4 linked regions of the Callithrix jacchus genome follow. The protein of the gene in region 1 purifies or fractionates together with the protein of each later gene. This does not show direct contact. Links are inferred from orthologs where the notes say so. Each region holds a gene or a part of one and is shown in the gene's direction. Other genes may lie near its edges.

Region 1 (8,346 bases):
TGGTCAACAAGGTGAAACCCCGTCTCTACTAAAAATACAAAAATTAGCTGGGCATGGTGGTGCGTGCCTGTAATCCCAGCTACTCAGGAGGCTGAGGCAGGAGAATTGCCTGATCCCAGGAGGCGGAGGTTGCGGTGAGCTGAGATCACGCCATTGCACTCCAGTCTGGATAACAAGAGTGAAACTCCGTCTCAAAAAAAATAAAAAAAAGACTGGAGTCAAGATGCGGTATTATAGGTATCATTTTGTCTTCTTGCTAGATTAGCTTAAAAAAAAAATTCTAATGAGTACATCATAGGCATTTATATTGATGGGTACGTGAGATGTTTTGATATAGACATGCGATGTGTAATAATAATATCATGGAGAATGGGATATCTATCCCCTCAAGCATTAATCCTTTGTGTTACAAACAATCCAATTATACTTAGTTATTTTTAAATGTACAATTAGTTATTGACTATAGTCACCCTGTTGTACTATCAAATAGTAGATCTTATTCATTACTTGTAACTATTTTTTTTTTGGTACCCATTAGCCATCTCCTCTGCCTCCCACCACTATTCCCAGCCTCTGGTAACCATCCTTCTACTCTCCATGTCCATGAGTTCAGTTGTTCTGATTTTCAGATCCCACAAATAAGTGAGAGCATTCAATGTTTTTCTGTGCCTGACTTATTTCACTTAACATCATGGTCTATAGTTTCATTCATGTTATTGCAAATGACAGGATGTCATTCTTTTTTTATGGTCAAATAGTACTCCACTGTTTATATGTACCACATTTTCTTTATCCATTCATCTGTTGATGGACACTTAGGTTGCTTCCAAATCTGAGGTATTGTGGACAGTGCTGCAATGAACATGGGAGTGCAGATATCTCTTCAATATACTAATTTCCTTTCTTTTGAGTGTATCCCAGCAGTGGGATTGCTGGGTCATACGGTAGCTCTATTTTTGTTTTTTTGAGGAACTGCTAAACTCTCTATAATGGTTATACTTATTTACATTCCCACCAACAATGTATGAGGGTTTCCTTTTCTCCACATCCTTGCCAGCATTTGTTATTGCCTGTCGTTTGGATATAAGCCATTTTAACTGGGGTGAAATAATATCCCATTGTAGTTTTTGTTTTTGTTTTGTTTTGTTTGTTTTGAGACAGAGTCTCACTCTGTGGCCCAGGCTGGAGTTCGGTGGTGTGATCTTGGCTCATGGCAACTTCTACCTCCCGGGTTCAAGTGGTTCTCCTATCTTAGCCTCCTGAGTAGCTGGGATTACAGGCACGTGCCATCATGCCTGGCTAATTTTTGTATTTTTAATAGAGACGGGGTTTCACCATGTTGGGCAGGCTGGTCTTGAACTTCTGACCTCATCATCCACCCGCCGTGGCCTTCCAAAGTCCTGGGATTACAGACGTGAGCCACCACACCCAACCCTCATTGCAGTTTTGAATTGCATTCCTCTGATGGTCAGTGATGCACACCTTTTCATAAGCTTGTTTGCCATTTGTATGTCTTCTTTTGGGAAATACCTATTCAAATCTTTTGCCAATTTTTTGATCAGATTATTTTTTTTCTTTAGTCTTGTTTGAGCTTCTTTTTTATTCTGGTTATTATTTCCTTGTCAGATGGGTTAGATCTGCTTTTTCTTTATTTATATATTTTTTTGAGATAGGGTCTGTCTCTGTCACCTAGGCTGGTTTGCAGCAGTGTGATCATGACTAACTGCCACCTCTGCTTCCCAGGCTCAAGCCATCCTCCCAGTTAGCCCTACAAGTAGCACGGACTACAAGCATGTGCCACCACACTCCGCTGATTTTTGTATTTTGTAGACATAGGGTTTGGCCATGTCCAGGCTGGTCTCAAACTCCTGAGGTCAAGTGATCCACCCACCTCAGCCTCCCAAAGTGTTAGGATTACAGGAATGAGCCACCATGCTTAAAAACATTTTATTTAACTTTAAAAAATAGAGATAGGGTCTCACTGGGTTGCCCAGGCTGGTCTCGAATTCATGGGCTCCAGTGATCCTCCTGCCTCAGCTTCCCAAATTACCAGGATTAGAGGCGTGAGCCACTTTGCCCAGCCAGCCACCGTGCTTTTAGAGAAGGACTTTAGAATGTAAATTCTTTTTTTCTTTTCTTTTTTTTTTTTTTAACAGCGGAGACAGGAAGGAATAAGGAAAGAAAATAACAAACAGCCAACCAATATTTCATTTAAATCTGTGAAATGCTATGCAAATGCTGAAGAGTGATTTGCTTCCATTTATGTGGTCACTTTCAAAATAGGTGTAATGTGATACTAAAAAAAATGTATGTTCTGTGGACCTGGGGTGAAGAATTCTATAAATATTCACTGAGTTTACTTGTTCCAGGTGTGAGTTCAAATCATAAATGTCCCTGTTAATTTCCTATCTCGTTGATCCGTCGAATATTAACAATGTGGTGTCAAAATCTCCCGCTATTATTGTGCAGGAGTCCAAGTCTCTTTATAAGTCATTGAAAAGTTGTCTTATGTATCTGGGTGCTCCTATATTGGGTGCATATATATTTATGATCATTGACTCCTATTGTTGCATTGATCCTTTTACCATTATGTAATGTCCTTCTTTGTTTCTTTTAGTCTTTGTTACCATTAAAGTCTATTTTGTCAGCAATGAAAGTTACAAATCCTGTTATTTTTTTTTCTCTCCATTTGATTGGTGAGTCTTCCTCCAACATTTTGTTTTGAGTCTTTGTGTGTCCTTGCTTATGAGATGGATCTGGATACAGAGTGCTGATGTGTTTTGACTTTTTATTCAGTTTGCGGGTCTGTGTCTTGATTGGGGCGTTTAATCCATTTAAATTTAGGATTAATTTTGATATTTGTGAGTTTAATAATTGTCATTTAATGCTAGCTGGCTATTTTGTCCATTAGTTGACATAGATTCTTCATTATGGAGATACTGTTTACCTTTTGGTAAGTTTTTGGGATGATTGATACTGGTTGTTCCTTTCTGTGTGTAGTGCTTCTTTCAGAAGCTCTTGTAAAGCAGGCCTGGTGGTGATGAAATCTCTGAGTGCTTGCTTGTTCTTGAAAAATTTTATTTTTCCTTCATTTATAAAGCTTAGTTTGACTGGATATGAGATTCTGGGTTGAAAATTCTTTTCTTTGAGGATATTGAATATTGACCCCCACTCTCTTCTAGTTTGTAGAGTTTCTGCTGAGAGATCTGCTGTAAGTCTGATAGGCTTCCCTTTATGGGCAACCTGACCCCCCTCACCAGCCGCCCCCAGAACACTCTCCCTCATTTCAACCCTGGCGAATCCAACAACCGTGTGTCCTGGGGTTGCTCCACCCGAGGAACATCCCTGTGGTGGTCTCTGCACCACCCTGAGCCAAGCACTGTCCCACCTCACTAGGCTAGGAAAGTCCTCCCGAACAATATCCTGAAGAACATTTTCCAACCTGGATTCATTCTCTTCCTCACATTCAGGTACACCTATCAAACGTAAATTAGGTCTTTTCACATAGTCCCATATTTCTTGGAGACTTTGCTCATTCCTTTTTACTTTTTCTTCTCTAATCTTGTCTTCTCGTTTCATTTCATTAAGTTGGTCTTCGACCTCTGATATCCTTTCTTCTGCTTGATCAATTAGAATGTTAAAACCTGTGCATACTTCGCGTAGTTCTTGTGTTGTATTCCTCAGTTCCATTAATTCACTTATATTCCTCTCTAAATTGTCTATTCTTGTTAAGATTTCGTCAAACCTTTTTTCAAGGTTCTTAGTTTCTTTACATTGGGCTAGAACATGTTCTTTTAACTTACAGAAGTTTCTTATTATCCACCTTCTGAAGCCTCATTCTGTTATTGGAATGCACTCATTCTCCATCAGGCCTTGTTCCCTTGTTGATGAGGAACTGTGATCCTCTGTAGAGGAAGAGGCATTCTGATTTTGAGTATTCTCAACCTTTTTATGCTGGTTTCTTCCTGTCGTAAATTTATCCACCTGTCGTCTTTGTAATTACAGACTTTCAAATTAGGTTTCTGAGTGGACGTCCAACTTGTTAATTCCCAGCGCTGAAATCTGAGCAACCCACTGTGCCAGCTAAAACAGCGGCATCAAGATTCTTGGTGCTTTTCTGCCCGTGAGTCTCCAGTCTGGCTTCCCTCCAGAATCCCTTCTTTAATCAGCTGAATGGGCAACTCTGCCTTCCCAGAGCCCCAAACGTCGACCAAAAGGGGACTCAGTCCTGTTTACTCTGCACTGAGAACCGCCGCGCCGGCCACAAGAGTCGCACTGGTGACCCGTGGGGCTCCTCCACTGGGAATCTCCTGGTCCGTGAGCAACAAAAATTCATCTGAAAGTGTGGCATCCTCCCGTTCTCTGTGCTTTCACTGGGAGCTACAAGCCTGAGCTGCTAGTGATCGGCCATCTTGGATCTCTCTCTTTCAAAGGTTTTTTCTTTAGACTGTAAATTCTAGGAAGATAGTGATCTTATCCAGTGCGTTCCTCACTTTTTTTTCTAACACCTAGAAAATGATATTGTTTGCTTGGTAAATACTGATGAGTAAAAGTACAAAGCAGCCCAGAGAAGTGGAATACATTGTTGATACTTTTGAAAATCAGTGATTTTGATAATGAATATAAATTATTAATTATAAAGATAAACTTTTACTTGTGTAGTAGGCATTCTGAAATATCTTTGAACGTAGAAGCCACTTGTATGGAGGAGAGAAAATTAATGAAGTTTCATCCCTTCTTTTTATATAAATTACATTGATTAGAGACTCCAAGGAACTTTAAAAGGTATACGAGCATTGGCTGGATTTCTTTATGAATAAGGGGAGCAGAATTCTATGTGGATGTTAAGTATTTGCCTTAAGCAGATTAACTCTCTTATTGGAAATAGAGGAACTATTTAAATTTTGGGAAACACTAACTTGCCTGATAAAAAGTAAAGACCCTTTTGCCTTTCTTCAGTGAACATATTAAACACTATTTTAAAATGTTGATATCTGTTAGCAGTCAACCCTGGAAAGTCTGTGAAATGTCATAGGCTTCACTTGTCTCATCTTCCTATTTAAGAGACTATTCTGAGCTCTTCCAAGATAGGAAAGCACACTGTTAGAGTCCTATAGATGGCAGTGTTTGCTCTATTTTGAAAATGTTTTTACAGGTCATCATCAAGAATATGGGCTGGAATCTTGTTGGGCCTGTCGTTCGATGCCTTTTGTGGAAAGAAAGAGAGGATGATGATAAAAGAAAAGTTTATTTTTTGATCCTTGATATATTGGTAAAGGTAGGTTAACAAAACCAGGTTCTCTTTGTCATAACACACAGCAATGTTGTATAATTCCCTTTAATGTTTATTGTTTGGTAAAAAGCTTTTGGTTTATGGAAGTACATGCAGAAAGGAACTCATTGGAGAAAAGACTCTGTCTTATTGATTGGATAGGCAATTCCATTTCAAGATTTCCCAAATTTTCTGGATATAAAAATTGTCTAACCTCATATTAACCTCATATCAGACCCATTGATTCAGCATCTCCAGGGAGAGACCTGGGAAGCTGTATTTTAACAAGTAGCCTTATTGTATAGATGTGGAACACAAGGTTTAGAGGTAGTTCAAGGCTACATTTATCTTTCGGCAACATTGGATCTAGAATAAAATCTCAGTCCTCTTGCCTTTGTGGTATGTTCCCTAAAAGAAAATGGAAAGCCTAAAATGCAAATGATTAAAATGGAAGTAGGAATAGGGGGTAGTACACAGAGCAGTTGTGACTAACAACCTTAGAGACCCTTGGTAAAAGTCTAGTAGAGTTTAAAGTCAATATCGATGGCTAAGAAAGATTAATTCTGAGAAAAAGGATATTATAAGAAACTGCTTAGTGATCAGTGCAAATATACCCAAATATATATTTGGAAAGAGCTCCATCTGTATGAATTATTGACTGCGGGAGCTGGGAGCTTTTAAAAAACCAGGTAAATGAGATGTTAAGATATGGCCAGTTAGAAAGCAATGCAGAGTTTTACCTGTTCAAGAAATACAAAAGAGATTCTGGACTAGTCTGTGCTTACAGCATGGGTTTGGGAGGTCCCGCCTGGTGGAGTCCCTGGGAATCTATTAAGGCAACTTCCAGAGTATACAGGTGAAACTCAAAGGACTTACAGCATGGGATTGAAAGGTACCACCTGGTGGAGTCCCTGGGAATCAATTAAGGCAACCTCCAGAGTAGACAGGTGAAACTCCAAGGACTTACAGCATGGGTTTGAAAGGTACCACCTGGTGGAGTCCCTGGGAATCTATTAAGGCAACCTCCAGAGTAGATAGGTGAAGCTCAAAGGACTTACAGCATGGGATTGAAAGGTACCACGTGGTGGAGTCCCTGGGACTCTATTAAGGCAACTTCCAGAGTAGACAGGTGAAGCTCAAAGGACTTACAGCATGGGATTGAAAGGTACCACCTGGTGGAGTCCCTGGGACTCTATTAAGGCAACTTCCAGAGTAGACAGGTGAAGCTCAAAGGAAACAGGAGCTTAAAGATCCGTTGACTTCTTATTTCTTTTTACTTTTATAGTTTTGACCATCATAGATTCTGTGTTTTGCTAGTGCATATTTTTAAACAATTGTATAAATAATTTTACTGTTAAGCAAAAAAATAATTGTATAACATTTTGCCAATATGTGCCTTCTTAAAAATAGTAATAATGTGGCTTTAAATACAACTTGTATTAAACAGGTTCAATTGTGAATATTTTTATAGTTATGCAGTCCAAAGGAATTATTGTTGGGTTTGCTTGAACTGATTGAAGAGCCCTCTGGAAAGCAGATATCCCAAAGTATTCTTCTTTTGCTTCAGCCATTACAGACAGGTAATGAGAATTTTGATATCAGAGTACTTCTTGTATCTCTAAGTGCCTTGATGGTTACACGAAAATATCAATACTACACCAAAGTAAAGTTTACAGCTAATTAGTACTCTTGCTAATTCACATTAGCAAGGCCAATGTGAATCCTGCTGCTCATAGAAAAATTACAGTATCTGGCCGGAGTGAGTACCCTATAAATACTCTGTTGAATGTCATTGTATTTTTTGTGTGCTACATTGAAACCTACACCTTTTTGCCTAACCTTCCTATCTGCTGCTTAAATCTAGAATTTTCCCTTTAAACATATTTAAAGGATACCTCTGTGGTGTCTACAGTACTAAATCTGATAGCATTATGGTAGTCCAGAAGAGTATCAGGCAGGGCATTGCTCAGCCTCTGCATTGGGAGGTTGGATTGGACATAGCAAAGGTAATGCTGAAGAATGAAATTAGAAGATGTAGGAGAAGACTCCATGGCTGAGTATAGTAATAATATTGGTAAGTAATAGGTCTTGGCAACCAAGACAGAGAGTATCCATGGGAAGAGGTTATTTTTCAGGAAATATGTGAATCTCACAATCTGTTAGAGGGACCTATCAGATTGTGAATCAGAAATTAAATTTGCTTTAAATATGAATGCCTACCAGCTTCATACCACCTGTAATATTCAGTCTACTAGAAAAAAAAAAATTGAATAACACCACCTCCTATTTGTGTAGTGCTCTGTAGTTTACAGTACACTCATATCTTGTGTTTACAGCAACCAAAAAACATGGTAAGAACATGTTTCTGTCTTAAGTAAATAGTCTGTTATAACCTAAACATTTCATGGCAAGGTGCTCTATTATTTTATGCACAACGGAGAAGAAAAAACACTGCCAGTTAAACTGTGATGTGCCATCTTGATTTCAAGACTTGTTCAAACGTGGGAGGAGGAAGTGTCTTATAATTCCACATTTGCTGAATTTCTTGTCTCATGTTTAGCATACTTGAAGAGTGACAACTTGATCTCTGTTTTAGTGATTCAGAAACTTCATAACAAAGCATATTCAATTGGATTAGCATTGTCTACCCTTTGGAATCAGCTATCTCTTCTTCCTGTTCCATACTCAAAAGAACAAATACAAATGGATGACTATGGCCTTTGTCAGTGTTGCAAGGCCTTAATAGAGTTTATTAAGCCTTTTGTGGAAGAAGTCATTGATAACAAAGAAAACTCACTGGAAAATGAAAAGTTAAAGGATGAATTACTGAAATTGTAAGTATATTTTTAAGAACATCTCATAATGGACTTAAATAATTGATAGTTCAGTTGTTTTATGTTTCTTCACCTTGTTTGACATATAAATAGAAATCTAGTTTCAGATTTTGAATTTTAGAAGCATATGGGGTTCAACTGATACAGCATGGTAACTTGAGACATTTATATTTAAAAAAAGTATAGGCCAGGTATAGTGGCTCACACATGTAATTCCATCAATATGGGAGACTGAGGTGA
Region 2 (7,300 bases), about 95 Mb from region 1:
TGCCATCTCAGCTCACTGCAACCCCCACCTCCTGGGCTCCAGTGATAATCCCACCTCAGCTCCCTAGTAGCTGGGACCATAGGTATAAGCCACTACGCAAGGCTAATTTTTAAAATTTTTTGTAGAGATGAGATTTTGCTGTGTTGGCCAGGCTGGTCTCAAACTCTTGAGCTCAAGCAGTCTGCCCATGTCAGCCTCCCAAAGTGCTGGGATTACAGACTTGAGCCACCATGCCTGGCCTTTAAATTTAATTATGAATCTGCCCATTCCTTAGCAGAATGTCTTAGATTATTATTGAGAATTTGTTCATCTTCCAAGTGCCTCTTGATCCTGCTGCCAGAGAAATTCCACTGGATGATATCAGTGGCTTTCTTAAGCCTGATACAGAAGTTGTTATTCTAAAAATTGGCTTAGCAGTTTTCCCTGAGCAAAGGCCACTTGCTTCTTGAAGAGTGGATAAAACATGGATTAAAGGGTAAAAACACTTTCACCGTCACCCCAGGTCACGGCAAACTGATGCTGTGTGCTGCTGGAGGCACAGCTTTTCTCTGCTGTCAGGCCATGACAGTGGGTATTTTGTTAACTGCAGCGTTTGTAAAACAATTTGGTTGTTTGGTTTTTCAAAATGGGGTGATGGAAAAGTTATGAACTTCAGTGTTTAATAAAAATTAAAATGTCAAACTGTAGGCAATGAGCTTGACTCTTACTTTATCAAAAGGTAGTATATATAACACTATGATCAGAAAATAGCTTATTCCTAAATATAAACTGCTTAAGATTCTGGCAGATTCAAAAGTAGAAAATAATTGGGTTTTTCCTGTTTGTTTGAACAAGAGAATTTTCTCTTAAATTTAATCTATAATTTATAATATGAAAGTTGTGAGAGTGGAGGCTTTTTTGCTTGATCATTAATGTAGCCGTGTTGCTTGCAGCAAGCTGTTATTTAATGATTTGGGTTTTTATAAAAATAAATCTTTTATGTTTAAATGTAGGAAGATATTGATGCAGAATCTTCATTTTCATTAAATATGAACTTCAGCAGTAAAAGAACAAAATTTAAAATTACTACATCAATGCAGAAAGACACACCACAAGTAAGTGCTTTTAATGTCACGTTGTTTTGGGGGACAAACATTTAAGCATTGGACTTCGCAAGTGTAATTTACATTGAGATCGTGCAGAACTTCGCATAGCAGAGTTAATAATGGGACAGCTTTTCTGGTTTGTTGTTTGCATTTACTAACTTTACAATCAAACAGAAATCTCTGCTTATAGTTTAGCTTTTTCTAAGGAAAAAGGTACGGTTTTGTTTTATTTGCTCTTTTTTTTTTTTCTTTAACAGCAGAGTCTTGCTCTTTTGCCCAGGCTGGAGTGCAATGGCATGATCTCAGCTCACTGCAACCTCCACCTCCCTGATTTAAGCAATTCTCCTGCCTCAGCCTCCTGAGTAGCTGGGATTACAGGTGCACACCACTATGCCTGGCTAATTTTTTTGTATTTCTAGTAGAGATGGGGTTTCACTGTGTTGGTCAGGCTGGAGTATTTGCTCTTAAACCATTGGACTGTGTAACTTTGCTTTGCATTTCTCCAAAAATTCCCATATTGAGAAGTAATAAAATCTCATATTTTTTATTTGTAAAATAAAGTTCTACAGCTCTTTTCTTTCAAAGTAAACTTGTCAGTAGAAAATGCTTCTTAAACTTACATGTGCAAATGAGCCACAAGGGCGTCTTGTAAAAATGCAGATTGTGGACCAGTTGCAGAGGCTCATGCCTATAATTCCAACACTTTGGGAGGCTGAGGTGGGTGGATTACCTGAGGTTGAGAGTTCGAGACCAGCCTGACCAACATGGAGAAACACTATCTCTACTAATAATACAAAAATTAGCTGGGCGTGGTGATGCATGTCTGTAATCCCAGCTACTTGGGAGGCTGAGGCAGGAGAATCGCTTGAACTCGGGAGATGGAGGTTGCGGTTGAGCCAAGATCGTGCCATTGCACTCCAGCCTGGGCAACAAGAGCGAAACTCCGTCTCAAAAAAAAATGCAGATTGTGATCTACTGGGTGTGGAATGAGGTCTTGACTCCTGACAGGCCAATGTGAGTTGGGGACTTCTGCTCTTCGTTCTTTTGACTCAGCAGTGATTGTTGCTTTGGTCTGCGATAGACTGTTTCTCTATCACTTAGGCTTCCTGATTGCCAACCGTGTGCAGTCGTGGGGCTGGTGCAGGATGTGAAGCTAATATAAGGCGTTAGACTCTCTCCACAAACTTAATTCCCCATGGTGGAGACAAATATTAATTTCCATTTACTTTGAAACCTAAAATGGTCAAGATTCCATTTTCCTCTAGGCTAATAAATAATAATTTGAAGTATATAGTGGTATTTTGTCTTTGAAAAGCTGTGAGGAGATCCTGTTAATGTGGCATGGCCTGCTTCTGTGCCCTGCTTCTCCTGTGTTTCTTGAGCTCCGTGGCTCCATAGAGATAGGCCCCATCTCCTGGCTTCTCTGCTTGAGCCAAATAAAATGGCACTTCTCAGCTCTTCCTTTGAAGCCTGATCCGGTATGCATTTGGAGCTAATTACTACAGTTGACACAACTCCATCTAAAAGCATCGTGATACAGATTCTGTAATCACTGAAAAGAAAATGATCTTGCAGATTACTACTGTGTCCTCCTTTATCGCCTCTTTTCCTTAACAGTATAGTTTATAATAATGTAAATTTTTTCTAATGACTTTCAGCTTTAACCCTAGAAACTATAGATGTTTTCTCAGTGGTTATGTGATATTAACACAACATAACTGTATAATTTGCTCACTATTGATTACAAATTTATCATTGTGGCACATGCCTGTAATCCCAGCTGCCCAGGAGGCTGAGGCATAAGAATCACTTGAATCCGGGAGGTGGAAGTTGCTGTGAGCCAAGATCGCGTCACTGCACTCCAGCCTGGACGACAGAGGGAGACCCTGCCTCAAAAAAAAAAAAATTTATTTGCACTCACTGATAAAATGAATTTAAAACACATTCAGTGACTTGACATCTTGTTCGCTCTTTTTTCTTCTGTAAAACAGGAAATGGAGCAGACTAGAAGTGCTGTCGATGAGGACCGGAAAATGTATCTCCAAGCTGCTATAGTTCGTATCATGAAAGCACGAAAAGTGCTTCGGCACAATGCCCTTATTCAAGAGGTAAAAGGAGGGCAGTCCTCAGGGCTTCTTAGGGTAGAGGGCATTGTCGGTGTACAGAGTCAGTCTCTTTCTTCTTAAAGAGGATACAGAAATAAACTGATCCTCAAGTAGCATAAAGAAATGTTTCATACTTAGAATCGTACTTGCTTCCAGTTTCAATATTAAATTCAGATTTGCAGGCTAGGCACAGTGGCTTGTGCCTGTAATCCTTTGTTGTTGTTGTTGTTGTTGTTGTTGTTGTTGTTGTTGTTGTTGTTGAGACAGAGCCTTGCTCTGTCGCCCAGGATGGAGTACAGTGGCATGATCTTGGCTCACTGCAACCTCTGCCTCCTGGATTCAAGTGATTCTCCTGCCTCAGCCTCCCGAGTAGCTTGGAATACAGGCATGCGTCTGGCTAATTTTCGTATTTTTATATTTTTGCATTTTCAGTAGAGATGGGGTTTTACCGTGGTGGCCAGGCTGCTCTTGAACTCCTGATATCGGGTGATCCACCCACTTCAGCCTCCCAAAGTGTGGGATTACAGGCGTGAGCCACCATGCCTGGTGAACACCTGTAATCTGAATGCCTTGTTAGGCCAAGACAGGAGGATCGGTTGAGTCCAGGAGTTTTCGACCAGCCTGGGCAACGTAGAGAGACCCCATCTCACCAAAAAATATTTTAAGAATTAGCCAGCTGTGTTGGCATACACCTGAAGTTCCAGCTACTTGGGAGGCTGAGGTGGGAGGATTGCTTGAGCCCAAGGAATTGAGCCTGGGTGACACAGTGAGATGCTATCTTGAATAATAATAAATTCATATTTGCTTTGGCTTTATTTTAGAGCTCTAAAACTTGCCAGTTCATTGAGTCTTCTGTTCAGTTATTGAAGGAAGTTGACACATCAGATACTCATTCATTCCATAAATATCTGAGCCTACCATATGATAGATGGCCAGGCTGGTCACTGGGTTGTAGTACAGAGCAGCTGAAGATGTGGCAGGCCCTTTTAGAGTTTACAGTTTAATGGGGAAGAATTATGTTATTGAAATAGTACACAAATAAATATAAAATTACATTAGCATGCCCTGAAGGAAAGGTACACAGTACCTTGAGAATGTATTTAAATGTCCTGACCTAGGGGATGCTGGGGAAAACTTTCTGGAGAAAGTGGTGTTTGAACTAAGAGCTGAGAGTTGAGTGACAGTTAAATAGAAGCTTGGGGTTGTGTGTGAGTATTTAATGTTTATTGTTTCACTTAATTATGTATCATTATTAGATTTTGCTGTATCCATTTTCCATATTTTAGTTCCTATTTTCATACTTCATTCTGCCTGTTTGCTGAAATTTCAGTGCATTTGAGGCACTTTAAACGGATTGGTTAAAAGTCATTACTTACAGCTGAAGAACGGGCAGTAGTTTGACTTCCACGTCTCTCTTCCACAGGTGATTAGCCAGTCAAGAGCTAGGTTTAATCCCAGTATCAGCATGATTAAGAAGTGTATTGAAGTTCTGATAGACAAACAGTACATCGAACGCAGCCAGGCGTCGGCAGATGAATACAGCTACGTCGCGTGATGTCGCTCTCCTCCAGCGTGGTGTGAGAAGATCATTGCCATCACCATTTGGTGTGTTCCTGTGGGAAAAGCAGGCCTGTGCCTCCATAATTTGGTCATTTGGCAGCCCCTGTTTTCTGCTGTTTACAACATCACCAGTGCCACGTCATGAGCGTCAAAGAAAATGCCTAGAGATATTTCAAGCTCATGTCATGATGACATTTCTTAAAACTTTCTTAAAAGAATGAGTGAAGTATTGCTGGAATGTGGAAAGTCGGTTGGGTACCATGCTTTTTCTCCCCTTCACGTTTGCAGTTGATGTGTTTTTTTTTTTTTTTAATGTATCTTAAAGGACATAAAATTTAAAAACTTAAATATTGTAATATGACAGATAACCTAATAATTGTATCTACATTAAAATGACAAACATGATACTGCTGCTTGTCAAATAAAAAAAAATAAAGAAATAGAATGCCTTTTTTATGTGAATGGAGTATCAGGTTGACCACAAAATATATAGAGTCAAAGCAGCTAATGGGCATCTTTAGTTGCATTTTTATCTGAATGGTTTAGTTTACTTGTACTTCTATTTAAATCCTACATGAAAAATGTCTAGATTATTGTTCTTGAATGCACTGGCCTGCATTCAGCATAAAGAATGCTTTATTTTTATGGATTCGATATATTGGAGCTAAGCATTTTGAATCTTGAAGATGTAATTTCATCGGCAGTTTCTGGTGGTGTGCTACCCTGCAGACAACGCAGAGTGTGAGCAGGATTCATGGTGACCTCAGTTCTGGCACAGAGAGAGCTTTTCATTCAGAAGTTGTCTTTCTTCTGTTGCATAATGCATTAATTCTAGCATAGACTAACATCCTAGCTCTATGGCTTTCCTGAGTCTTAGGAGATCCTGTGATACCAATGTATTCCTTCCATATGCCTTCCCTACCTGTTACCCTTACAACCCTCCTCAGACAGTTTATATACTAGAGTCACTCCCATCAGTCACAGATATGCTTAGCAATGCATAACCTAAATATCTTTTTTTAAAATAATTTTACATTGCACCCAGTGCCACTTATATATAAATCTCATTATTTTGTTTATTACATATATGTATCAACAGCAGTGTCAGAATACTGCAATCTATTATATTTATTGTCTGTCCACACCATCACCACCACCACACCCCTCTTCCCTCAACACACAAACAAATTTTTTTGTTTTTTTTAAAGTAAGAGACAGGATTTTGCCATGTTTCCCAGGCTAGTTTAGAACTCCTGGCCTCAAGCAATCCTGTCTCTGTCTCCCAAAGTGCTGGGATTACAAGCATGAGCCACTGTGTCCGTTGAACATTCAGTTTTTAAAATACGGAATATTTAAAAGCAAATCACATAAATTGTTTCACTTTTAATACTTCAGTTTTTATCTTGAACAAATAAGGCCTTTAAAAAATCCACAGTGACATTATTACTCCTAACAAAAACAATAATTAACTTAGTATTATCTAATATGTGGTTCATATTTAAATTTCTTATCATTTCGAAATGGATTTTACAATTGGTTTATTCAATTGCATTTTTTTCTAACTCATGTCTCTTAAGTGTTTTAAAAATCTACTGAACTTACAATGACTTCTATACTGTATTTCTCATTTTACCTTTCTTCCAAAGGAGGAAATAATGGCAAACCATATAATATTGTACATTCGCCGTCAAAAAGCAAACCCTTGTTTTGATAACTTGTTGATTGATAAAAGTTTTCCAAATTGATTCTTTTTTTCTTAAATATTTATAAATGTTAAATTAAGTTTTATCCTGGTATCTAATCGTCAAGAAAGTACATTGAAAAATGGACAGAATGCTTGTGCGGAGGTCAAAAGAGATGACTTACAGGAGTTTTCTTCACATCCTCTCTCTATTCAGCTGTAAGGAAACAACTCACACTAGGAAGAAAAGGGACCAGATCTGTTCAACCAAGGCACCATTCAAAAAGAGCAATGATTGGAATTCATTGTAGCACACACCTTCCCCTGCAGAGAGTGCGGGGAAGAGTTGCAGTCTTGTCACGTTAGGTGAGGAGATTGGAGTCACTGCAGAAGCTGTGGCATACAGCCCAGAGCCCTTACCTGGTACCTGGCCGTCCCAATGTGCAATAACTAGTGCGTGTGGGCAAAACAGCTCAGAACTACAAAAAGGGAAAAGGACCAAGGAGAGGAGGGTTTTTTATGCTTCACTGCAGAAAATGCATGTGAGCAAAACTCTCAGAAGTTTTTTAGAAGCCATTAATACTAAGGTAGTGATGCATTGTATAGCCAGCCAGCATGAGACCATGTCAACATGCCAATCCCTTCCCTTTGAAAGCAAATATTTTAATTGCTATTGAAGGTGCTGACTTACTCTAAGGTTTAGCCCAATATTTTATGACCATTTGCTTTAATATAAACAAACATTCTGGGGGTTGTGTTTGTTTTGTTGTTTTTAAGACAGGGTCTCGCTCTGTCACCCAGGCTGGAGTGCAGCGGTGCAATCACGGTGCACTGCAGCCTCAACCTGCTGGTCTCAAGTGATCCTCCCA
Region 3 (8,972 bases), on another chromosome or scaffold:
ATGATCTCGGCTCACCGCAATCTCCACCTCCCGGGTTCAAGCCACTCTCCTGCCTCAGCCTCCCAGGTAGCTAGGACTACAGATGTGCGTCACTATGCCCAGCTAATATTTTTGTATTTTTAGTAAAGATGGGGTTTCATCATGCTGGCCAGGCTGGTCTCAAACTCCTGACCTCAAGTGATCTACCCACCTTGGCATCCCAAAGTGCTGGGATAATAGATGTGAGCCACTGTGCCTGGCCTATTTTGCTTTTTGTATTTTCAGTCTTCTGGGAATTTTCCCAAGATCCCTTCTGGCTTCTTCCCTCTGACACCATCTTGTTTCCCAGGAAGTGTCTTCCATTTACTCCTGCCCCTATGCCTCATCTTGCCCCAAGCTTCTGCCAGTATCAGATTGCTCAGCCTTGTTAATCCAGTGGGCACTTATGGAGCACCTACTCTGTGTCCCCGGAATTGAGTTAATGCCCTGGGAACCAAAGTCCAAAAACTGTGCCTCAGCATTTATTAAGCACCTACTGTGTGTGCCAAGTATTGCACTACAAACTGGGGACACACAACCTGGTCACTGCCCTATATGGGCTACTTGGGAAGTCTGAGTCCCTGGGTTACTTGCGAAAATGCACAAAAACAGGTCATTACAGTGTCTGGGGAAATTGGGGACTGGGTGTGGCCAGAGCAGAAGGTTCAGGGAGAGAGGAACCGGCCAGGCAGAGCAAGGGTGCGGGGTGTTCCAGGTAGAAGGAACAGTGTGTTTAAAAGCACACAGGCGTGAAGCAGCCCGGTGTTCTCTGGTGGGCACTGGGAGTTGTTTGGTCTGGCTGGACATGGAGTGCAGGTTGGAGAGCCTGGGGAGATGAAGCCAGAGGCAGGCAAGCCCAGATGGTGCAGAACCTCGTGTTCCAGCAAGAGTTGACCTTTATCCTGGAGCAGCCGGAAGCCCAGGCAGCCTCATGGTTCCCTGCAGCCCAGGAGCTTCAGGGCTGAGCCTGGGCCAGAGCCAGGCCCAAAGCACTCTCCTCTGATCCCCCATTAGCCCACATTCACTGCTCTCAGCAAGGCCCGTGAGAGTCAGTCACTTAAATATAATGCTATTTTCAAAGCTCATTCATTCATTCATTCATAAATGTTTAGCAAGCTCTGATGTTTGCCAGGCACTGCTCTGAGCACCGTGAATGGATCATTCAACCCCACAGAGGTTCCAGCTTTCTTTCTTTTTTTTTTTTTGAGACGGAGTTTCGCTCAGTTGCTCAGGCTAGAATGCAGTGGCGCTATCTCAGCTCACTGCAACCTCCGACTCCTGGGTTCAAGTGATTCTCCTGCCTCAGCCTCCCAGTATCTGGGATTATAGGCGCCCACCACCATGCCCGGCTAATGTTTTTTGAATTTTTAGTAGAGACAGGGTTTCACCATGTTGGCCAAGCTGGTCTTGAACCCTGACCTCAAATGATTCACCTGCCTCAGCCTTTCAAAGTACTGGGATTACAGGTGTGAGCCACCACGCCTGGCCTCTGGCTTTCAAGAAATTTATATCCTTGGCAGTTGGGAGGGGAACAGGCCATAAAAAAGCAAACAGAAAAAATAAGTAAGGAAATTTCAGATCACGATATGTACAAAGAAGAAAATGAAACAGGGATGCAATTGAGTGTGATGGGGGTCTGTTGGGTAGTCAGGGAAGGCTGCTCGGAGGAAGGTTATGTTTGAGCTAAGACCTGGAGGACGAGAATAAACCAGTCACGTGAACATCTGGAAGCTGAGGGTTTCAGGCACAGGAAACAGCACAGCACATGCAAAGGCCTCAAGGCATGAAGGAGCTTTGTGTTTTCTAGGTTTAGAAAAAAGGCTGGGTTCAAATACACTACTCTCCAGTAATCCTCGGCAAGGATTATTGTACCCATTTTTTAGAGATGGAAATTGAGACTTGTCAGGATGGTTAGTTTCTTGGTCAAAATCACAACTGGGAGTACAAATTTTGAATGTAAAGCCACTATTTTGGGGTTATTTTGGTGTTTGTATGTATATATACGTGTGTTTTTTTAAACAAAATCATCAAGTTCAGCAACCATGTGTCCTAAATTATCTAGGATGGTCAAATTTCTTTTTACTTTTTTTTTGAGACCAAGTCTCGCTCTGTCACCGAGGCCGGAGTGCAATGGTGCGATCTCAGCTCACTGCTTCCTCCTACGCCTCCTGGGTTTAAGCGATTCTCCTGTCACAGCCTCCCGAGTAGTTGGGATTACAGGCACCTACCACCACGCCCAGCTAATTTTTGTATTTTTAGTAGGGACAGGGTTTTGCCATGTTAGTCAAGCTGGTCTCCAACTCCTGACCTCAGGGGAATCTGCCCACCTCAGCCTCCCAAAGTGCTGGGATTACAGGCATGAGCCACCGTGCCTGGCCCAGATATCAAATTTCTAAAATTCTTTTTTTTTTTTTTTTCTGTTTTTGATAGAGTCTTGCTCTGTTGCCCAGGCTAGAGTACAGTGGCATGATTTCGGCTCACTGCAACCTCCACCTTCTGGGTTCAAGCAATTTTCCTGCCTCAGCCTCCCAAGTAGCTGAGAGTACAGGTGCCTGCCACCACACCTGGCTAATTTTTGTATTTTTAGTAGAGACAGGGTTTCAACATGTTGGCTATGCTGGTCTCGAACTCCTGACCTCAGGTGATCCACCCGCCTCGGCCTCCCAAAGTGCTGGGATTACAGGAAGGAGCCAGCATGCCTGGCCCTAAAATTCTTATTGTCTCCTGGACAGTCATCTTGGACATGCTCTGTGTTCTATATCATGACTTCAAGCCTTGTCTTTGTCAGGTACTGCCAGTGAGATCCTAGACTAGCACTTCACCACTTTAAGCCTCAGTTTCCTCCTTTATAAATAGGGAGGAATTGTAATCATTCCACTATCACAGGTTTGCTGGGAGGATTAAATGAGAACATCCACATCAGAGTCAGCACAGTGCCTGGAACGGGGTACCTGTGAAATGAATGGTGATTCTTCTTTATTGTTACCTTGGAAAATGGAGGCCAACTGCAGGATGATCCTGGCTCCAAGGAGCCGGGGACCCAAGACAAGCATACAGAAAGAGAGACCAACAATTGGAGGCCTCTGATGCATAAGACAGGCAGGGGAGTGGTGGGAGGAGAGAGCAAGACTGAGCAGCCAGGAGGGCCTCTTCCCTTCCCTTTACTCAGCCTCTCACTCCTCTGCTAGGATCCCATATTGACACATCTTGTACTTCCCGTTTCCAGGGAAATTCCTCGCTGCCGGACTGCACCCACCCCTGAGGACCTCCCAATATCTTTGGGCAGAGCAGAAGCCAGACAGAGACAAGGACTACCAAGCAACCATCTCCAGCCCCGTGTGTGCAAGGAGCCCTGAGGGGCAGGCGGCCACGCTGCAGAAGACTAGCCTCTCCAACCCCAGGGAGCCTGGCGTGGGCTGCAGGAACAGAACGCTTCTCAGAGGAGGTAGGGACCCCATGGAGTACGTGACGTGACGCCTGGCCCTCCAGCTGCATGCTCCAGTTAGCAGGACAGAGACCCCTCCCCACACATTCCCAGCCTTCCCTGGTTTCCTGCTCTGCTACTGGGAGGCCCTGTCACCACACATGCGCGTGCATGCGCTAACACATACACCCCTCCCAGGCACCCCCGGAAGACCAGCTGCAGCTGGGGGTGGGGGGGGGTGCACTGAGCACAGCCAGGGTTCTCAGATCCCTAGCCTGCTCTCCCACCCCACCCTAGCCCCCAATTGCCGAGCTGCTTCTAGGTTTAAAGCAAAACACGACTCTGTCCTTCCTGCTGCTCAGTGGCAGCAACACTGCCTGGAGTTATTTTTAGCAGGGATGCAGGGAAGGCACAGTTCTCCTTGACTTTAACTAGGGACAACCCCCACCCCCCAGCCAAGACTCACTGGAGGAGGCCAGTACGGAAACTCCCCTCCCAGAAAGGGGAAATGGTGTGTTTTCTGTTCCTTCAATTCACTAGAATGGGAATCGTGGTCAAGCCTGGTGTTGAACTGATGGGAAATTCTAGGTTCCAAAGCCCATGGGCTCTGCCCCATCCTTGGCCTCTATGTTTCCATGAATCCGGGAAGCGAGAGGCACATGGTGTCTGGAGTTGAGGTGCCCTGTCTGTGGGTGCTGGGGTCCCTGGGAAACTGCTTGGTTATATCCAAGCTCTGTGGATTACACAGGGGCACCAGGTATCGTGGGTGGTGTTTCACAGGCGCTGGCTAAATAATTCATTAAACTGAACATGTATGTTTCATGTACTTTTCCATATGTGTATCTTTTAGATGCTAGCAGTACTTTATGAGGTATAATCAACATACATTCCACATACAGTAAAATGCATAAATCTTAAGTGTACAGCTTGATGAATTTTGACAAATATATATGCCTATGTAACCATCACCTAGATCAAGATTTCAGACATTTTCACTACCTCCAAATGCCTTTGTGTCCCCTTCCAGTCAGTCTCCGCCCCAGAGGCAACTGATTCCGACTTCTACCACCATAGATCGTGTGTGTGTTTCACAAAGTTAAAGAAATACAGCTGCTGTCACGGAAGAGGGAAATGAGCAATAAAGTTCTTAACATGAAAGGAGGGGGCCTCAAAAAAAGGGGTTATTGCAACTGGAAAAATGAAGGTATCATTGGCCTGGGAAACAGGAGGTTTCAGAGCCAGCCCAACCCCTCAGGGTTGGGACCAGAAGGCTTGGGACACTTCTTGAAGCAGAGAAGCTGTGAGTGGGGAGGGAGCAAGGGGAGGGCCAGTCTTGGCTCAGGCCTAGCTGCCTCTGGGTCTGCTAGAGGTCCCTGCCCCTCCTCCAGGCCCTGACCACTGCACAGTTTCAGCAAGGCCAAGGCTGCAAGGAAAGGTTCTCTCAGGGGCATCCACCCAGAGGCAGAGTTTAGGGCCCCCATGTAGTTAAGTTATTTGTTTTCCTTGACTTCCTTTTCAAGGTCTGGGACTCCTGCATCCTTTGTCCTGCCTGGGGCGGGGAGAGGCTGAGGCTGTCAAAGCAGAGTGCTAAGGAAGAGTCATGATGCTTTTCATTCTTTCCTTCCTTTCTTCATTCAAAAACAGTTATTTGAGCACCCGTGTAGTGCTATAGATTCTGCCGGGTGCTGGGCATAGGAGAATAAGCCACATTTTAGCTTAGAGAGTCAGAGTTGGCATTTCTAGGTAGAAGCAAGGCCTTATACCTCCTTCATATTGGAGATGAGGGGCCCAGAGAGGGGAAGTGACTTATTAGAATCACACAGCTAGCTGCTGGCAGAGGAAGGCCAAGAACAAGGATCGATCCCTGATTGAGACTTAGCTGGGGATAAGAAAGCAAAGGAAACCAAACCAACAGCTGACTCCCTGGTGTGCTCTCCTGTAAGCTTTCTAGGGTAACAAAAAGCACTGACCTGGAGTGAGAGGACCTCAAGGCTACTGCTAGGTCTTAGAAACACTTCCTCTCTCTGGGCCTCAGCTTTATTCCATGAACATGCAGGAGGCAGCTTCTGGAGCACACCCTCCATTTTCCCGCCTCTGTGCCTTTGCTCGGGTTGTTTCTGCCGCCTAGAATGCCCCCTTTCCCCTCCTACTTCCTTCCTCTGACATTCTCCTAATCATTTATGACCTAATTCAAATGCTGTCCCCAGAGGCCCCGCAGTCCTTGGGCATCTGGAGAGTGGTGTCACCCAGGTCCCCACTACCAGAACAGACAGAGCCTCCTCCATTTTGCAATCCTCCCATCCTAGGGCACAGCTTTCCTTGGATATGGGGTCTGTTTTGTCAGCCACTGTTGGAGGAATTGAAGGGATTTCTTAGTCCCACCCTACACTTCCACATGCCCCCTTAGCTTTCAGAGACTGATGTCGTCCTTCCACTGGGCCTTGAAGACATTGTGCTTTCTGCTGGCCATGCCAGCCCAGGCCAGAGCATCAAACCTGGGCACTTCTGGCCAAGGTGGCTGCCCTGGGAGGTGACCCCAGGAAGGATGAGAAGGCGGGGCCTCAGCCAGAAGCATGGCTGCCCCACCTCAGTCATCCAGTCATCATTCACAAACACCCCGGCAGAAATCCTCCCTCACAACAGACACGTGGCTCCTGCTCCCACAACCATATCCAAACCCACTCCTACCTACCTGCCCACAGCAGCAAGTTTGCAAAGATGTACCCCACTGCTCCCACAGCTCCCCTGCCCCTCCCCTGGGTGGGCATTGCCATGAGTGCACATTCATCTCACATACACACAGGGCACACACAGACATGCGTAATGGGCAACACAGATGTGGACACATGAGGGCATACACACAGATGCATACATGCACATGAGCACACGTGCACACAGAGCACACACAGAGACATGAATGCATGGCACACAGGCACACACACTCACATGCTTCCTCGTGACGGGGGGCTCCTCTCCACCCTCAGATCATACGCCTGCAGCTGAGGACTCTGCAGGGGAAGTGCAGGCTCAGTTGCTGGTTCCCAGCTGCCTCTGACTTTACATTCAACGGGAGTTTTTTCTGTTAGTTTTTCCTACTGATGGCCCAATGGGAATGAAAGAAAGCTCAAGAGCTGTGGGTTTACTCTGGAATAGCACCTTGCTTGGGTGCCTGGCAGGAAGGGGGGCAGAGGGGTGGGGTAAGGATTCCATCACTTCTAGGAGCAAAGGTCTCCAAAGAGCTGAGGTTTGGTGAGACCAGTAAACATGAGGCTGGTCTTTGCTCTCACTGCTACACTCCTCCCTCCAGTCCATCCATTCTTCCTATTGCTACAGTTGCCCCAGGCCCATGCTCTCCCATGTGGGGAGGTGGGAAGGATTGGAAGAGGGCCCAGTCCTAAGGTCGATGTGGCAGCTTTTGGGCTGGCAGCAGGGTCCCAGGTAGCCTAGCCCCTTTCAACAGAAGGGTGGCTTCTCTCAGACTCCTCCAGAGCAGCACAGCAGAAATCCAGAGACCAGCCATGTAGAGGTGTAATGTTTGCGACCCAATTATCAGATCTCAAGAGTTAGGCAGGGAAGAAGCTTGGATTCCATTAAACCCAATTTAGCTGTAGTCCCTTAGCACAGAGCATGTGCCTGGGATGGGTTGGGGCAGGTAGGAAGGATGAGGTGGCACAGAAATCGTAAGACATAGTAACTATCTTTGTCTTCTTCTTCTTTTTTTTTTTTTTTTTTTGAGACAGAGTCTCGCTCTGTCACCAGGCGCCAGGCTGGAGTGCAGCGGCGTGATTTCAGCTCACCGCAACCTCTGCCTCCCAGGTTCAAGCAATTCTCCTGCCTCAGCCTCCTGAGTAGCTGGGACTACAGGCACACGCCACCATGCCCAGCTAATTTTTTTGTATTTTTAGTAGAAACGGGGTTTCACCATGTTGACCAGGATGGTCTCGATCTCTTGACCTCGTGATCCACCAGCCTCGGCCTCCCAAAGTGCTCGGATTACAGGCGTAAGCCACCATGCCCTGCCAATTTTTGTATTTTTTAGTAGAGACGGGGTTTCACCATGTTGACCAGGCTGGTCTCAATCTCCTGACCTCGTGATCCGCTTGCCTGGGACTCCCAAAGTGCTGGGATTACAGGCGTGACCCACCGTGACCAGCCAGACATAGTATCTATCTTCTAAGAGTGTGTGTCTGGTGTAAGAGACTGGGGAACATCACACAGGCAGAAGAACTTCCAAGAGTGGAACTCAAACATGACATGCTGCACACCAAGCCCACCACCTCTGCCCACCCCTCCCCAGAAAATACAGGCATGCCATCAAACTGATATTCCTGTTGTCTTCCCTATTTTGTTTTTATTTGAGAGTCAGGGTTTCTATTGCCCAGACTGGAGTGCAATGGCACAGTCATAGCTCACTGCAACCTTGAACTCCTGGACTTAAGTGATTCTCCCACCTTGGCCTTCGAGTACCTCATACTACAGGGGTGCACCACCACACCTGGCTTATTTTTAAAAATGTTTTTAGAGATGAGGTCTCCCCACATTGCCCAGCATGCAACTCTCAACCTGTTCCCAGCTGCACATTAAGTTCCAGCCTCATGGAATTCCTCCTGGTTCCCTCAGCTTGCTGTACTGGTGTACGCCTCTGAGCCTTTGTACATGCCGTTTCTGCTGCTTGGATGCCTTTTCTTTTCTTTTTTTTTTTTTTTGAGATGAAATTTCACTCGTGTTACCCAGGCTGGAGTGCAATGGTGCTATCTCGGCTCACCGCAACCTCCGCCTCCTGGGTTCAGGCAATTCTCCTGCCTCAGCCTCCCGAGTATCTGGGACTACAAGTGTGCACCACCATGCCCAGATAATTTTTGTATTTTTAGTAGAGACAGGGTTTCACTATGTTGACCAGGATTGTCCCGATCTCTTGACCTCATGATCCACCCGCCTCGGCCTCCCAAAGTGCTAGGATTATAGGCATGAGCCACAGCGCCCGGCCGCCTGGATGCCTTTTCCTCCTTGACCTAGCTTTGTTCTGACTCCTTTGCATATAGATATATATGCTTGTATATATATAAGCTTGTGTAAGCCTCATAACAACCTTGGTAGGTGCTATCATTATCATCTCCATCTTCTAAATGAGAGAACTGGTACACAGAGAGGTGAAGTAACTAATTGACCTACGGCGACATGCCCAGTAAGTGGTAGAGTGGGATTTCCTCACAGCCAGTTTGGCTGAAGATGCTGTGCTGTTAATCCCTGCACTCACTCACTGTTAGAAGTATTTGCCAACTCCCTGGGCGCGGTGGCTCATGCCTGTAATCCCAGCACTTTGGGAGGCCGAGGCTGGTGGATCACCAGGTCAAGAGATTGAGACCATCCTGGTCAACATGGTGAAACCCCGTCTCTACTAAAAATTAAAAAAAATTAGCTGGGCATGGTGGCACGTGCCTGTAGTCCCAGCTACTCAGGAGGCTGAGGGAGGAGAATTGCCTGAACCCAGGAGGCGGAGGTTGCGGTGAGCCGAGATCGCGCCATTGCA
Region 4 (7,304 bases), on another chromosome or scaffold:
GTGCATGTAACTTACCTCCTCGTTCCCACCCTCCCTCCCTCCCTCTCCCTCCCTTCCTTCCTTCCTCTTCTTCCCTCCCTCCCTCTCTCACTCTCCTTCTTCCCCGCTTCCTCCCTCCCTCCCTCCCTCCCTCTCTTTCTTTCCCCTCCCTCTCTTTTTTTTTCTGTTTCTCTCTTTCTCTCTTTTTTTTTCTCTTTCTTTCCTTCTTTCTTGACAGGGTCTTACTTTCTTCCAGGCTTGTAGTATTCCAGTCACAGCTCACTGCAGCCTCAACCTCCTCAGCTCAGGTGATCCTCTCAGCCTCCTGGGTAGCTGGGACCACAGGCATGTGCCACCACGCCCAGCTAATTTTTTTTGTATTTTTAGTAGAGACGGAGTTTTGCCATATTGCCCAGGCTGGTCTCCAACTCCTGGGCTCAAGCCATCTGCCTGTCTCGGCCTCCCAAAGTGCTGGGATTACAGGCATGAACCACACCTGGCCTTATTTTCTCATTTTGAATGATTATTATTAGTTTGATTTTTAGGCACAATGCGAAAAGACACTTTCTGTAATTGTTAATATTGCTAATTTATACAGTGGTTAATGATTTTATAAAATAGTTGCATAAAAGCACTGACCACCTTAGGAAGCAGCCCACATTCATATCTACTTTCTAGATGCTTCCCCTTCCTCCCACTCACCTGCTCTGCTGGCTCGTTCATGGCTTTCCTGTGCTCTGCCATTGCTCAGGTGAGTGAGCAGTTCGCCCGGCACATTGACCAGCAGATCCAGGGCAGCCGGATCGGTGGAGCCCAGGAAATGGAGAGGCTGGCACAGCTGCAGCAATGCCTGGAAGCTGTCCTGATTTTCTCCGGCTTGGAGATAGCCACTACCTTTGAGCATTATTACCAGTGAGTGTGGACCTAGGGAGTGGGAGCTGGACCTAGGGAGCGGGAGACAGGATGACGGTGGCAGAGCCAGCTCACAGGCCTGGGAGTCTGGGATAGAGGCAGGCTGGAGTCTCAGAGCGGGAGGCTGTGCCACACTGCTGCCCACACTGAGGCTTGGCCCGGGCTGCATGTGCTGCAGGCACTACATGGCGGACCGTCTCCTGGGCGTGTTCTCGAGCTGGCTGGAGGGGGCCGTGCTGGAGCAGATCGGTCCCTGCTTCCCCAACCGCCTCCCCCAGCAGATGTTGCAGAACCTGAGCACCTCTAAGGAGCTGCAGCGCCAGTTCCATGTCTACCAGCTCCAGAGGCTGGATCAGGAACTCCTAAAGCTGGAGGATACAGAGAAGAAAATACAGGTGAGTGCCTTGGAAGGGATGAGCAAATGAGAGGGTAGGGGGAAGAGAAGCATGGAGCAGACTGGAGGAGGCCATGGCATCTGGGAACCCTGTGTTCCTTCAGGTGGACCATGAGGCCAGTGGCAAGGAGCACAAGAGTGAGAAGGAAGAGGGAGCTGGGGCAGCAGCAGCGGTGGATGCAGCAGAGGAAGAGGAGGAGAATGAGGACCTATACTATGAAGGGGCAATGCCAGAAGTTTCTGTGCTTGTCCTGTCCCGACACTGCTGGCCTGTCGCCTCGATCTGCCACACACTGAACCCCAGAACCTGCCTACCCTCCTACCTGAGTGGCACTTTGAACAGATACTCCAACTTCTACAACAAGAGTGAGCAGCCAGGCCGAGGGGACTAGAGAGGATGGGCTGCTAGGAAAGGACCTGGGGTTGAGGGCAGACCCTGATGTTGGGAGGCTTGATGTGAAAAGAGATGGTCTTTGGCTGGGCACAGTGGCTCATGCCTGTAATCCTAGCATTTTGGGAGGCCAAGGAAGGCAGATCACTTGAGGTCAGGAATTCAAGACCAGTCTGGGCAACACGGTGAAACCGCACCTCTACTAAAAATACAAAAATTAGTTGGGCTTGGTAATGCACGCCTGTAATCCCAGCTACTCGGGAGGCTGAGACAGGAGAATCACTTGAACCCAGGAGGTGGAAGTTGCAGTGAGCCAAAATCGCACCACTGCACTCCAGCCTGGTGACAGAGCAAGACTCTGTCTCAAAAAAAAAAACCCGTAGGGCAACCCTCAAAGACACTGATGAGCCTGCCTGGTACCAGGCTAGGCATAGGATAGCTCCCAGATACCTGAGGTTCACCATGGAGGCAGGCCCAGAGAAAGCTGAGATCTGGAAGCTCAGACTGGGAGCCCCAGTGTCCATAAATGCTGGGGTCATATGCCCTGCAGAGATCAGCAGAGCTTGACCAGTATGCACCTTCCCTCCAATACCAACTCCCTCCTTTCCCCTGCTCTTTGTCTCCCTCCCCATTCCTGGTATGTCTCCAGGTCAGAGCCATCCTGCCCTAGAGCGAGGCTCACAGAGGCGACTGCAGTGGACGTGGCTGGGCTGGGCTGAGCTGCAGTTTGGGAACCAGACCCTGCAAGTGTCCACCGTGCAGATGTGGCTACTGCTGTATCTCAATGATCTGAAGGTGACCCAGCCCCGTTGTACCTCTCTCCCATCTCCCACTTAGTCCCTCGCCTCTCTTCCCAAAACCCTCCGTCCTCTCCTCTCCACTCCTTGGGGAGGCCCTGAATGTCTCCCATCTGTTGTTCTCTGAAGTCGATCTCTGTGGAGAGTCTGCTAGCACTCTCAGGCCTCTCCGCAGACACACTCAATCAGGCGATTGGGCCCCTCACCTCTTCAAGAGGCCCTTTGGACCTTCACGAGCAAAAGGATATACCAGGAGGTATGCACTTAGGGCCAGAGGGGCCTCCACTCTGAGGCAGGGCCGGGCTCCTCATGGGCTCTCCACTGAGTGAGTGATCAGCGTTTATTTCAGGGGTCCTCAAGATTCGAGATGGCAGCAAGGAAGCCAGGTCGAGATGGGACACTGTGCGGCTCATCCCACCTCAGACATACCTGCAAGCTGATGATGAAGAGGGCCGGAACTTGGAGAAGAGACGGAACCTTCTGAACTGCCTGATTGTCCGAATCCTCAAGGCCCATGGGGACGAGGGACTGCACATTGACCAGCTTGTCTGTCTGGTAGGTGGGGGTGGGCATAGTGGGTGACAGATCTTTGCTGGGGTTAGGGGAGCAGTCTCCAGGACAAGGTGGGTCCACATGTGGTGAAGCACCTGGTTCACTGAGTAACCTGTAGGAGTGTGAGGAGTGAGGTCGGGGTGCACCTGGTATCCTTGGGGAATCCTGTCCTAGCTGCTTGTGATTAGAGTGAGTGGGAGCTCAAGGAGAGGTCAGCTGCCTCTAACCTACCACTGCTCCCTTCCTTCCCCACACCAGGTGCTAGAAGCTTGGCAGAAGGGCCCATGTCCTCCCAGGGGTTTGGTCAGCAGCCTTGGTAAAGGGTCTGCCTGCAGCAGCACCGATGTCCTCTCCTGCATCCTGCACCTCCTGGGCAAGGGCACGCTGAGACGCCATGATGACCGGCCCCAGGTGCTGTCCTATGCAGTCCCTGTGACTGTCATGGAGCCTCAGACTGAATCCCTGAACCCAGGCTCCTCAGGCCCCAACCCACCCCTCACCTTCCATACCCTGCAGATTCGCTCTCGGGGTGTGCCGTATGCCTCCAGCACTGGCACCCAGAGCTTCTCTACTTTCCGGTAGCCCTGGACTTGGGATCAGGGGATGGTAGAGCTGGAGTTTTTACAGAAATAAAATGCAAGAGTTTGGTATGACCTGTGTGTGTTTGGCAACTGCTACAAGATTTGAGCAGGGAGGTGGGGGAGCTTTCACGGCTGGTGGGGAAAAAGCCCTTGGCACTGAGGCTGTCACATGATATGCCAAGGGTCTTGTTAGGGTGAGGACGGTAGACTGGGAGAAAGGCAGAGGGAGTCAGGTGCAACTTAGCAGAGGGATTGAGGGGACTCAGGCAGGATGATGGCGCTGAGCCCTGTCTCAGAGGGTGTGTGGTCAGAAGTGCTTTCATCTGGTAGGCTGGAGGCCCAAGCCCACCTTGGCCACTCACTAGATGGTTTGTTACTTGGACAGATTATCGAGCAGGGCTTCATTTTCCTCATTTATGGAATTGGCCCAGTCACTGTGGGACTCTGACAAGTAACAGGCATGGAAGCATTTGACGTGGCAAATGAAGGCTTTGCCAGTGAGTCCCCATTTTGGCCACCACTCCCAGCAGTGAAAGTGCTTCCTTGGTGCCTTCCCTAAGTAAGACTGAAACGATGAAGGTGAGGTTAGTGACCAACATTTCTTACTTCCACAAAGCTCCACCATTTCGCTCCTCTCTTCCATTCCTCTGCCTCCACCCTTTCTCTATCCCTGCAGAGCTGCACACACTGTCATCAAACTCTTACCCCTTGATTCTCAAAATGAGAGAGTGGAAGAAAAAAGAAAGAGAGAAAAAGAGAGAGAAAGAAAGAAAGGGAAGGAAGGAAAGGAAGGGAGGAAGGGGAAAGAAAGAGAAAGAAACTCCTACCCCTGCAGGCACAGCAATATGAACCTTTAGTCCCAGCTACTGGAGAGGCTGAGGCAGGAGGCCAGGATTTCTGGGCTTGAGACCAGGATTTCTGGGCTGCAGTGTGCTCTGCTGTTCAGGTATCTGCACCAAGTTCAGCATCAATATGGTGACCTCCCAAGGGCAAGGGATCACCAGGTTGCCTAAGAAGGAGTGAACTGGCCCAGGTCAGAAAGAGAGCAGGCTGATTGATCAGTAATGGGATTGTGCCTGTGAATAGCCACTGTACTCCTGCCTAGGCAACAGACCCTGTGTCTCTGTTTTAGAAAAAGCAGAAACTCCTACCCCTAACTAGCCCCATAGGTAAGCCTCTACTCTGCTGCTGTTGGGGAGGTTTGCTTTTGCTACTATGATTGGCTCTCTTGGCACCATCCACACTGAAGCAGGGCAGCTCAGGTCAGGCCAGGGGACCCTGTGCCAGGGGTACAGCTCTGTTTTGGCAGGGCCACTGGGGAGGAGAAAAGGAGGGATGACCCAGGCATCTCAAAGCTCATAGCCCAGAGGTGACAGAAAAAGTCTTGGAAGGAGCGGGGAGAGGGAAGAGGAAGAGTCAGGTGATAAAGGAGGCCACAGAAGCCAGACAGAGAGAACTGAGTGCCACCAGGCCTGGGATTAGGAGTCTAGTGGGGGAGAAAGGCCATGGCTTGTGGGAGAATCAGGCTGCTCAGAATGAGGCCATGATACAGAGGGGCCCCAGCAGACGGCTCGTGCTTGCTTTGTAGTATTGGTCCCGTGGTGGTGTTGGTGGCTCTCAAAGCAGGGGCCGGCCTGCTGAGCCATGGCTGCCCTTTGGAGCAGAATCCAGACAGGCGGCAGCAGCAGGTGGGGGCCACAGTAGGCCAGACACATTGGGGTTGCTGCAGTTTGTCACTTGGGTGCCTCTCCACCTTTGAACCAGAGATTATAGCCTTTTATTGGCCCAGGCCCAATATTCTTGAGCTTGCTCTCAAGTGCCAGAGTTTTTTTCCCTTGTCTAGACTTTCCTGCTCTTTATGAGTGTATCCTTCTTCAGCAGAAACTCAAACCACTTCCTGCTGTGGGGTCCGGTAGCCAGCCCAGCATGCAGTGCACATAGGGACAGATAATAGGACTTACTGTGCTGCTTCTGCCTTGAGGCCTCCTCCCTGGGTTGAGCCGTAGGCTATGCCTTGAACTCACTGCCCTTGAAGCAGGAGTGGCAGGGAACAAACCTCTCGAACACCAAACTGAGGAAGTAAGTGGCTTTTTATTCAGCAGGGAGTTGCAGGGGGCTACAGCCTCATTCACCAAGCTCCCCAAGCTGCAGCTTCTCCCCACTTTTATAGGCTTACAACGCTGAAGGGGAAACTGAGGCCGAACTATGTCATTGCCCATTTGCTGGACATCCAACCTTACAATCTTTTGGCTTCATTGATTTGCTAATTCATATGCAGCAAGAGTGGGGACCAGGAGGGGAGGGGGCTTACAGAGACAAGACAAAAGCAACAAGCTGTTGGCAGAGGTGTTTCCAGGATGGAGCCTCGTCCGTGGAGACATGGGGGCATGAACCAGTGCCAGGCTCCAGCTGGCAGAGATAGCATTTATTTGCAGCTCTTTCAAGGTTAACAGATAGTAGAGATGCTGGGAACTAAAAAGGGAGTCATTTTCCCAGCTCTTTGGTATTTTATTTTTTTTCCTTCTTCACCCTCCTTCCCATCTGGAAGGTGGGAGGGAGAAGGTGAAATTGAAGGAGATGGGGGGGGTCTCCCCTCTCACCCTCATCAACCCCTGGTCATCCTACTCAGTCACCTTGCCAGTCTCCCATGGGGTACCTTCCTGCTCATCTGCGATGGAAAGTCTCCAATTCTTTTTTTTTTTTGGAGACAGAGTCTCACTCTGTCACCCAGGCTGGAGTGCAATGATGTGATCTCGGCTCACTGCAACCTCCACCTTCCAGGTTCAAGCAATTCTCGTCTCAGCCTCCTGAGTAGCTGGGATTACAGGCACGTGCCACCACGCCCAGCTAATTTTTGCATTTTTAGTAGAGACGGGGTTTCAACATCTTGGCCAGGCTGGTCTTGAACTCCTGACCTTGTGATCCACTCGCCTAGACCTCCCAAAGTGCTGGGATTACAGGCGTGAGCCACCGTGCTCAGCCTTTTTTTTTTTCTTACACGGTCTCACTCTATCTCTCAGGTTGGAGTGCAGTGGCACAACCTCGACTCACTACAACCTCAGCCTCCCAAGTAGTTGGGATTACAGGTGCCCACCACCACACCCAGCTAATTTTTGTATTTTTAGTAGAGATGGGGTTTCACCATATTGGTCAGCCTGGTCTAAAACTCCTGACCGCAGGTAATCCACCTGCCTTAGCTTCCCAAAGTGCTGGGATTACAGGCATGAGCCACCACATCCACCCGTTTTTTGTTTTTTTTTTTTTGAGATGGAGCGCAATGGGACGATCTTGGCTCACCACAACCTCCACCTCCCAGGTTGAAGCAATTCTCCTGCCTTAGCCTCCCAAATAGCTGGGATTACAGGCATGTACCACCATATCTGGCCTATTTTGTAATTTTTAGTAGAGATGGGGTTTCTCCATGTTGGTCAGGCTGGTCTCGAACCCCTGACTTCAGGTGATGCACCCGCCTCGGCCTCCGAAAGTGCTGGGATTACAGGCATGAGCCATCTCGCCCAGGCTGGAGTGCAGTGGTTTGATCTTTGCCTCACTGCAATCTCCATCTCCCGGGTTCAGGTGATTCTCCTGCCTCAGCCCTAAGTAGTTGGGACTACAAGCGCCCACCACCACGCCTGGCTAATTTTTATATTTTTAGTAGAGATGGGGTCTCACTGTGTTGGCCAGGCTAGTCTGGCACT

The links.
Region 2: the proteins of GLMN (region 1) and CUL2 purify together in Homo sapiens (co-immunoprecipitation; 4 studies listed by BioGRID and IntAct, counting the BioPlex papers as one, with this or other methods). This does not show direct contact. The link is inferred for Callithrix jacchus from reciprocal best matches to the Homo sapiens genes GLMN and CUL2.
Region 3: the proteins of GLMN (region 1) and FKBP5 purify together in Homo sapiens (affinity purification with mass spectrometry; 3 studies listed by BioGRID and IntAct, with this or other methods). This does not show direct contact. The link is inferred for Callithrix jacchus from reciprocal best matches to the Homo sapiens genes GLMN and FKBP5.
Region 4: the proteins of GLMN (region 1) and CUL7 purify together in Homo sapiens (affinity purification with mass spectrometry; 4 studies listed by BioGRID and IntAct, counting the BioPlex papers as one, with this or other methods). This does not show direct contact. The link is inferred for Callithrix jacchus from reciprocal best matches to the Homo sapiens genes GLMN and CUL7.

Annotation. Positions count from the first base shown.
Region 1 is NC_133508.1:130,015,776-130,024,121, reverse strand, and holds part of GLMN (glomulin), read left to right. Parts: intron 1-4,005; exon of another isoform or gene 4,006-4,433; intron 4,434-5,155; coding exon 5,156-5,278; intron 5,279-6,743; coding exon 6,744-6,852; intron 6,853-7,868; coding exon 7,869-8,106; intron 8,107-8,346.
Region 2 is NC_133508.1:34,638,842-34,646,141, reverse strand, and holds the end of CUL2 (cullin-2), read left to right. Parts: intron 1-992; coding exon 993-1,094; intron 1,095-3,076; coding exon 3,077-3,193; intron 3,194-4,613; coding exon 4,614-4,745; 3' UTR 4,746-5,190; downstream 5,191-7,300.
Region 3 is NC_133505.1:44,019,167-44,028,138, reverse strand, and holds the start of FKBP5 (peptidyl-prolyl cis-trans isomerase FKBP5), read left to right. Parts: upstream 1-3,193; 5' UTR 3,194-3,463; intron 3,464-8,972. UniProt on the Homo sapiens protein: Immunophilin protein with PPIase and co-chaperone activities. Component of unligated steroid receptors heterocomplexes through interaction with heat-shock protein 90 (HSP90).
Region 4 is NC_133505.1:51,515,463-51,522,766, reverse strand, and holds the end of CUL7 (cullin-7), read left to right. Parts: intron 1-730; coding exon 731-891; intron 892-1,069; coding exon 1,070-1,286; intron 1,287-1,389; coding exon 1,390-1,651; intron 1,652-2,325; coding exon 2,326-2,471; intron 2,472-2,602; coding exon 2,603-2,729; intron 2,730-2,810; coding exon 2,811-3,028; intron 3,029-3,283; coding exon 3,284-3,607; 3' UTR 3,608-3,678; downstream 3,679-7,304. UniProt on the Homo sapiens protein: Core component of the 3M and Cul7-RING(FBXW8) complexes, which mediate the ubiquitination and subsequent proteasomal degradation of target proteins. Core component of the 3M complex, a complex required to regulate microtubule dynamics and genome integrity.